Oryctolagus cuniculus: one gene and its partner. The protein of the gene in region 1 interacts with the protein of each later gene in a biochemical or structural test. Links are inferred from orthologs where the notes say so. Each region holds a gene or a part of one and is shown on either strand. Other genes may lie near its edges.

Evidence for each region.
Region 2: of the proteins of EP300 (region 1) and histone H2B type 1-B, one has a biochemical effect on the other in vitro, tested with the Homo sapiens proteins (8 studies listed by BioGRID, with this or other methods). The link is inferred for Oryctolagus cuniculus from reciprocal best matches to the Homo sapiens genes EP300 and H2BC3.

The regions. Positions count from the first base shown.
Region 1 is NC_091442.1:117,233,698-117,238,154, reverse strand, and holds part of EP300 (histone acetyltransferase p300), read right to left. Parts: intron 4,447-4,457; coding exon 4,390-4,446; intron 3,146-4,389; coding exon 3,068-3,145; intron 1,418-3,067; coding exon 1,350-1,417; intron 549-1,349; coding exon 398-548; intron 277-397; coding exon 130-276; intron 1-129. UniProt on the Homo sapiens protein: Functions as a histone acetyltransferase and regulates transcription via chromatin remodeling. Acetylates all four core histones in nucleosomes. Histone acetylation gives an epigenetic tag for transcriptional activation.
Region 2 is NC_091436.1:153,351,970-153,355,683, forward strand, and holds histone H2B type 1-B, read right to left. Parts: upstream 1,740-3,714; 5' UTR 1,412-1,739; coding exon 1,031-1,411; 3' UTR 975-1,030; downstream 1-974. Other genes in the region: histone H2A type 1-B, read left to right, coding at 1,740-2,132; histone H3.1, read left to right, coding at 2,762-3,172. UniProt on the Homo sapiens protein: Core component of nucleosome. Nucleosomes wrap and compact DNA into chromatin, limiting DNA accessibility to the cellular machineries which require DNA as a template.

The DNA.
Region 1 (4,457 bases):
ACACTTAAGATCCTGCATTTCTAAACCAAGTCCACCATATACTCTCTTGCTCCTTATTGCTCTTCCATCTATTGTAACTTAAAACTCCCACACAAAGAGAAGCTAGTCACAGTAATAAGGCAACCATACCTCTGGTTGGGTGGAGGGCAGTCAGAGCCATACTCTTGAACGTGCATTCCAAAGAAACACAAGTCAACACCGTCAATCTCTTCAAAGGCAAAGAGGGCTTTGGTTCGGTATGGAAAGGATTCTGCCATCTCTCCACTATCTACAAACCTATACAAGTCAGATCGGAGGGGAAAACCACAACATGCCTCATTCAGATTGCAATCACCAAAAGAAAGCACGTATAAGCAACTCTGCATTCATGAAAGAAGAGAAGAGAAATATCAGATACCTTGCTTTCATGCCTGGCTTGACTTCCACAGTTTTGTCAGAAGCATGAACTACTCTAACAGTGACCTCTCCAGACTCGGGGTGATTTTGCCGCCTCAGAAAGTCATTTACACGATTCTCCAGAAAGGTGCCAAGTCTGGTAGACGGCAACCCTAGAAACAGACAAGTTAAGTTACCAAGAGGCACATCTGTAACATCACTCTTAAGGTTCAAATGGCAACTGTGCTCTTTTCAAACAACAACAACAAAAAGGTAGTCAGTATATATCGATCATATCATACTAGCGCAGGGGCCATGTTAACTTCTTGGGTGTTGTTCCATTTTTGGTGTATTGCATTGTTACAATAGGTATGGTACTCAATATTCTAAATTTTTATTTGGAAAATATTTCAATTTTGGAAGTTAAAAATATACACCAATGAACATCCACATATACTTTGCACGGACTACAATGATATTTTAATAACAATGGTGGAGAATTACAGGAATCAAGAGCAACCACAAAATACTACAAGGCATGAAGAAAACTAAACCTGATACTTCAGTGAGATCGTCTGTATCAATAATGTGTGTAATACAATTTGACCTCTCCACCAGCGAAAACATCAGGTAAGGCTTAAAGGTGTCCTCTATAAATGCTAATAGAACACTCAAGGGATGGCAATTCTTATCAACCTCTGGCCTTTATTATGAAACAAGGAGAAATTCCCCAGTAAGAAAAACATGTGTCTTGTATATTTTACAATCCTTTTTTTTTTTGATAATTTTCTGCTTTTAGGTCTCAGGAATTTTACATCAAAAAGCACATTACAGTTCAGTTCTAAGTAGATCACAGATTTATTTTAACTCTGGCTAAATAATTATAATTAAAGTTAAAATAATTCATGTTGGATGGTTTCTTAACTAGGCTTCAGAGAAACTTTGCCAGACTTATCTGTAAGAAAGTAACTTACTTTTAGCAGAAAACTTGTTTTCTTTTCTAGTTCGTGCAGTTTTCTTTAAGCAGCCATCACAGACAAATCTAAAATGTAAACCAAGCTTTGCTTACACAACTCAGAGAAGCACTTAAAGAAGCATCTGTAACAAAACCCACTATTTGAGTAAAATATTCAAGAAACAACCTGGCAGAAATCTCTCTACATAGCTAACAAAATGGGAACACACGCAATATACATAGAACTTTCAGAAATTAGTACAACAAAAAGACAACCTAATGGGAAAACGGTAATAGACAGGAAGAAATGTGAAGGGCAAATAAACTGATTGCAGAGATTACAAGCGAAGATGGGAGCTCTGTGCTGCCAATCACACGGGCACAGGTGCTGACACGGGGATGCACTGAGAGCAGGACTAACAGGTGCACAACGTGCACACATCCCTCCGTTCCCGCAACTGCTTACAACGTGTGTACAGCAGCATCTCATGAAAGGTGCCCTGGGGATCCTGCCCCGCGAGAGTGCCCGAGTTCTCAGCTCTCCTTCCCACTCCCACTCTGCTGAGCCTCATGCTGCAGGGGCAGAGGACAGCAAGTCCTGGAGTCCCTGCCACCCACTTCAGGGACCTGGACTGAAATGGCAGCCGTGCATGCATCTGGGGAGGGAACTAGTAGTCGGCAGCTCTCTAGGCATCACTGCCCCTCAAATAAATATGAATGTCCATAATCTATGAGGTAAGAATAAAAAATTCAGAACATTACATGTGAACAATAAAATTATGAATGTGCATAGAAAAGGTCTGTAAACTGTAAACTGTTGGCCATGGTTATTCTTGCGGCAATCTGAGTAAGAGGGGAGAAGGCAAGACCTTCACTATTTCCTTTACTCTGAAATTTTAAAGTATTAGAATAAGAAAAAGCAATCTTAATAAATTAATTAAGGAGTTTATCTCTAACCATCAGATCCCAAATTGTAAGAATTACTTAGAAGTATCTTAGTCATTCCTATAAAGTGTGTGATTAAGGCAAGTACTAACTAAAAAGGTGCACTTAAAGACAAGTCTCACTGAAAACTGAAATGTAGCTACTGCCATTTTCACAAAATCCGTCAGTTCCCCTCTCCCATGACCACCGAATCAACATCAACAATCAGAGCAGGAGAGGAACAGAAGCAATGTGGTGACTCCATCCTACCAAGAGGTACTGTGACCCAGACCCCGCCCCCCCGACTTGGGAACACAGCCAGGAAGCCTCATTCGGGGACAGGAAGAGTCAGGACACCATGACTACAGCTCTGCAGCTTCTTGTCTTCACTACTAGCAGACAGTCCTTACTCTGATCACTGCTTAGTGTGTGTTTTCTGCAGTAGCAACAGAGTTGTCCCCTTTGATGCCCTGTCCTCCTAATTTTTCTATTGTAATACAAATAAATTCAAAATCTGCCAAATTTAATCACATCTAATACCTGCTTGCTACTTTCCAGATGCCTTATCTACCAGGTTTACTTTTGATGTACAATAGCCCCCCCCCCCAAAAAAAAAAAGAAAAAGAAAGAAAAATGTATGAATTGAAGAATGCATGCAAATAAGAGAAAGATCTATTTTTTATTTTCAGATTCTAGGACTTTTAATGTGTTAAAACTGGACTGTAACGACCCTTTCCCAATCAACAGAAAAACTGTTAAAGACAGTAATTGTTGAAGAAATGATAGTCACTGCAAAGAAGACCTAAGCCTCACCCCACTGGCCAGATGATCTCATGATGGAGGGCACATATCTGGTGCATCTTTCTTCCACACTCGGTACACTCTACGAACCTGGAGGTGCAAAGCGATTCCAGCATTAATCCCAGATCTCTAACCAACCGTTTCCTGTGATTCCTGACGATGCAAAGATAACTAAGGTAAAAAAGTCTAATGAATTGAAAAAATTGTTTTAACCAAATTTTTACTTTTAAAAGAGTTCTTTAGTGTTATGAGCAGAGCAAACTGCAAAGAGAAAATTCAGTCATTAAATCTGACTGGAAAGGAGATGAGAAAGATTACTTGCTGTTAAAACTTATGAGCAACGGCCAGCGCCGCGGCTCACTAGGCTAATCCTCCACCTGCAGTGCCAACACCCCGGGTTCTAGTCCCAGTTGGGGCGCCGGATTCTGTCCCGGTTGCTCCTCTTCCAGTCCAGCTCTCTGCTGTGGCCTGGGGAGGCAGTGGAGGATGGCCCAGGTGCTTGGGCCCTGCACCCGCATGGGAGACCAGGAGGAAGCACCTGGCTCCTGGCTTCGGATTGGCGCAGTGCGCCAGCCATAATGGCCTTTTGGGGGATGAACCAACAGAAGGAAGACCTTTCTCTCTGTCTCTCTCTGTCTAACTCTGTCAGAAAAAAAATAAATAAAACCAACAACAACAACAAAAAAAACAAAACAAAAAACCAACTTATGAGCAACGCCATCCTACTCTTTTTAGGACACATAGGAGTACTGCATTTTTCAGGGCTCCAGGCTTCAAAAGGTCTCACTATAAACTGAAGGAGTATGAGTTATGGCCTGAAAATGCAGAAGGAACAGGGCTGGAACACATCGTGGCCAGCAGAGGTAACTTGGTGCTTCACTTAGGCCCATGAAATGCCCAAACATTAAGTTAATTTAGTGGAACATACATGAGTACTAACTGAATGTAGACAAGCATCCTTAGTACTGGAGTGTCTTTCACATTTCTGCTGGCTATGGTAGACATGTTACGTGCATTTAGGTCACTGAAAACAACAGGGGCCAGCATCGTGGCATTACCCAGTTAAGCCAATGCCTGCAATGCCGGTATCCATTATGGGCACCTGGTTCAAGTCCCAGATGCTCCACTTCCAACAAGCCATGGAGGATGACCCAAGTCCTTGGGTCTCTGCACGCATGTGTGAGGACTGAAGAAGCTCCTGGCTTTCAGCCTGGCCCAACCCTGGCTGTTGCTGCCATTTGGGGAGTGAACCAGTGGATAAAGATCTCTCTCTCTGACTCTGCCTTTCAAATAAATAAATCTCAAAAAAAGAAAACAATAAAAGAACTACTTACAGTTCAGGATCCAGTGTGTCGTTTTTTCTCTTTGAAAACTGTTCTTTATTTATTGTACTAAGGAAAAA
Region 2 (3,714 bases), on another chromosome or scaffold:
TTGGAATATTTTCTGGGCCAGCATTATGATTAGCAACTAGAGCCACCACCTGCAGTGCCTGCACCCCATAAAGTCAATGGTTTGAATCCCAACTGCTCCTCTTCAGATCCAGCTCTCTGCTATGACCTGGGAGAGCAGAAGATGGCCCAAGTCCTTGGGCTCCTGCACCTGTGTGGGAGACCCGGAAGAAGCTCCTGGCTTCTCAAGTAAATAAATCTTAAAAAAAAGTTATCAGAGATGAGGCATTTTGAGAATACGAATACCGGGGGGGGGGGGGGGGGGGTGTCTCAGTCCTCCAGGGCAGCTGCTGACGCTGCGGCCGGTGTTTGCAGGTTTTGTGGGGTGGGATTGCCAGGCCAGCTTCTCTTTCACACCAGCGTTTTGCGCGCCCAGACAGGCGGTGTCGGTCACAGTGGCGCGCGAACCTCTGGGAACCACTCCAGAGTCGCTCTAAAGCCACGGCACTGGCCAACCTCCGCCCCGACGCGCCCTGGCCCCTCCCCTCAGCCAGTGGCTGGCCGCGAACCAGGAAAGGCGCGGGATTCAGATCGCATCCTGACTCCAGCCAGTATCAAGGCTCCATTCTTGAGAAAAATCCGCCCCATCCAATAGGTGATCCATGGATTTCTGAAGACTCAAGGACTGCTTAGCCGACGTGATTAGTGGCTACAGGTAGGTAACAGGGAGAACTGCAGGAATTTCACTCCATTTCACTGTCGAGGAGCTGGAGATGTTAGAGGGGGCTCTTCAAAGCTCATGCGAACCCGAGTTCACGAAATGCGCATCTCCCATCACATCGCGAACCCCAGTCCCCGACCCCGACCAAAGTGCCCTAAGGTTACTCAGCGCCGACCTGCACGGGATAAACACGCGTTCTGGGGTCGTCACTAACGCCAGCCCTAACACCCGACCTAAACCCACCTCAACAGGAGCAAAATACAAGGACGTCGGCCACAGCTCTATTTGTGAAAGAGTTGGTGGCTCTGAAAAGAGCCTTTGGGGTGAGGGGCGGCGGCGCCAATTCGGGAGCTCACTTGGAGCTGGTGTACTTGGTGACAGCCTTGGTGCCCTCGGACACGGCGTGCTTGGCCAGCTCACCAGGCAGCAGCAGGCGCACGGCCGTCTGGATCTCGCGCGACGTGATGGTCGAGCGCTTGTTGTAGTGCGCCAGGCGCGAGGCCTCGCCGGCGATGCGCTCGAAGATGTCGTTGACGAACGAGTTCATGATGCCCATGGCCTTGGACGAGATGCCGGTGTCGGGGTGCACCTGCTTGAGCACCTTGTACACGTAGATGGAGTAACTCTCCTTGCGACTGCGCTTGCGCTTCTTGCCATCCTTCTTCTGCGCCTTTGTTATCGCCTTCTTGGAGCCCTTTTTGGGGGCGGGAGCGGATTTGGAGGGTTCAGGCATTGCTTTTAATATTGGCTGAGAGACTAAAACAGACTCAGTCTACAGCTGATTAGTGATGACAGGCCGGAGTGCATATATTTATAGTCCCGTAATTCAAATGAGGGTTTGAGACTTCTCACTTCTGATTGGACAACAAAGAAATTTTCTCTAGGGGGGTTGTTTATGCAAATAAGGTATCCGGGTTGTCTTTTCCTATTGGGCAGAAAAGGCGAACCTATTTCGACCAATAGGATGACGTACTGTAGTAGCCCTGCGCTGCTTATAAAAGCACAGTCTTGGCGGGTATGGTTTTCTTTACTTCAGATTGCGAAGCGTGTTTGGCTGTACCATGTCTGGGCGTGGCAAGCAAGGCGGCAAGGCGCGCGCCAAGGCCAAGACCCGCTCCTCCCGGGCCGGGCTCCAGTTCCCCGTGGGTCGCGTGCACCGCCTGCTGCGCAAGGGCAACTACTCGGAACGCGTGGGCGCCGGCGCCCCAGTGTACCTGGCGGCCGTGCTCGAGTACCTGACGGCCGAGATCCTGGAGCTGGCGGGCAACGCGGCGCGCGACAACAAGAAGACGCGCATCATCCCGCGCCACCTGCAGCTGGCCATCCGCAACGACGAGGAGCTCAACAAGCTGCTGGGCCGCGTCACCATCGCGCAGGGCGGCGTGCTGCCCAACATCCAGGCCGTGCTGCTGCCCAAGAAGACCGAGAGCCACCACAAGGCCAAGGGCAAGTGAAACCACAGTAAAGACGACGCAACTCTCGCTTTGAAATACCCAAAGGCTCTTTTCAGGGCCATCCACTGTTTCACAAAAAAGCTGCTAACCCTGACTGGAATTAGTCCTTCCCATGGTGATAGCGTTAGCGCTTAAGAAAACTGTGGAAACAAGTGAAACGTGTATTTATTGTGACGGATGAAAGGCCACACAGTGACGGGGGGTGTGTCAGTCGGGAAATAGCCCCCGAGGTGCAGCTGTTTCAAACGTAAAACGCGTTTTGCCTTAAGTCAGGGCACCTTTCCGTGGCTCAGTGTTTATCGGGCGCTATTAGACGGCAGGCCCAGGTAATTAGGGATTTCGGGGTCCACGCTAGGGCCTGTTACTGAGGTAATCTCCCTCCACGGTTAGGTACGCTTCTGAGATGGAATGATCCAGATGTTAGAAAACGTCTACCATCCCAAACGGACAGTGGATGAATCCGGCCAATCAGGTTGTCTGAGTGGACCAATCATCGAAGTTCCTCCTTTAGCCAATGAGTTTGTCGCGCGGATTTTTTGAAAATCCGGAAGCCAATCACAGTAGTCCTAACGATATTTAAAGGCAGCTCTGTCGCCGCAGACAAGAAGTTTGAGTCCCACCGGCGCGAGATGGCTCGTACTAAGCAGACAGCGCGCAAGTCAACAGGCGGCAAGGCGCCGCGCAAGCAGCTGGCCACCAAGGCGGCCCGCAAGAGCGCGCCGGCCACGGGCGGCGTCAAGAAGCCGCACCGCTACCGGCCCGGCACGGTGGCGCTGCGCGAGATCCGGCGCTACCAGAAGTCCACCGAGCTGCTCATCCGCAAGCTGCCCTTCCAGCGCCTGGTGCGCGAGATCGCGCAGGACTTCAAGACGGACCTGCGCTTCCAGAGCTCGGCCGTCATGGCGCTGCAGGAGGCCTGCGAGGCCTACCTCGTCGGCCTCTTCGAGGACACCAACCTCTGCGCCATCCACGCCAAGCGCGTCACCATCATGCCCAAAGACATCCAGCTGGCGCGCCGCATCCGCGGGGAGCGGGCGTGAATCCTGTAAGCTTATCGGATTCCAAAAAGGCTCTTTTCAGAGCCACCCACAAACTCACTTGAAAGAAGTTGTAATGACGTCTGGGTGAGGAGTGTCTCTGGGCTTCGTTTCTTGGAGTTTGTAAGGGTGAGGTGGGCTATCAGTGTGCACACGGCTTCAACTTGGGTCAAAGGTTCTTCAGCTGTTTTCAGTGCAGTTAATTACACGTAAATTTGTGAGAAGTTTAGTTTGTCCAAATGTTCAATTCAGTTTCTCATAATTATTTCAGGGATAAGTTTTTATCCAGTGCGTGAGTGTCGAGTTTCTAGGGTTAAAATATTTTGGACACAAATTTAACTTGAACAGAAAGTGGAAGCCAAGGAAATTGTGGCTCATTGCTCATGAGGTTTTTTGTGCTTTATCATCTAATTCTTACAGAGCCGTGGGCGAGGGTGGTAATTCGCTTTTTGTTGTTGTTTACTTTTTGGTACCTGAACTATCTTCCAGTCTATTTAAAAAAAAAAAAAAGACTTTGAGAGATGGAGAGAAAGAGAAAGGTCTTA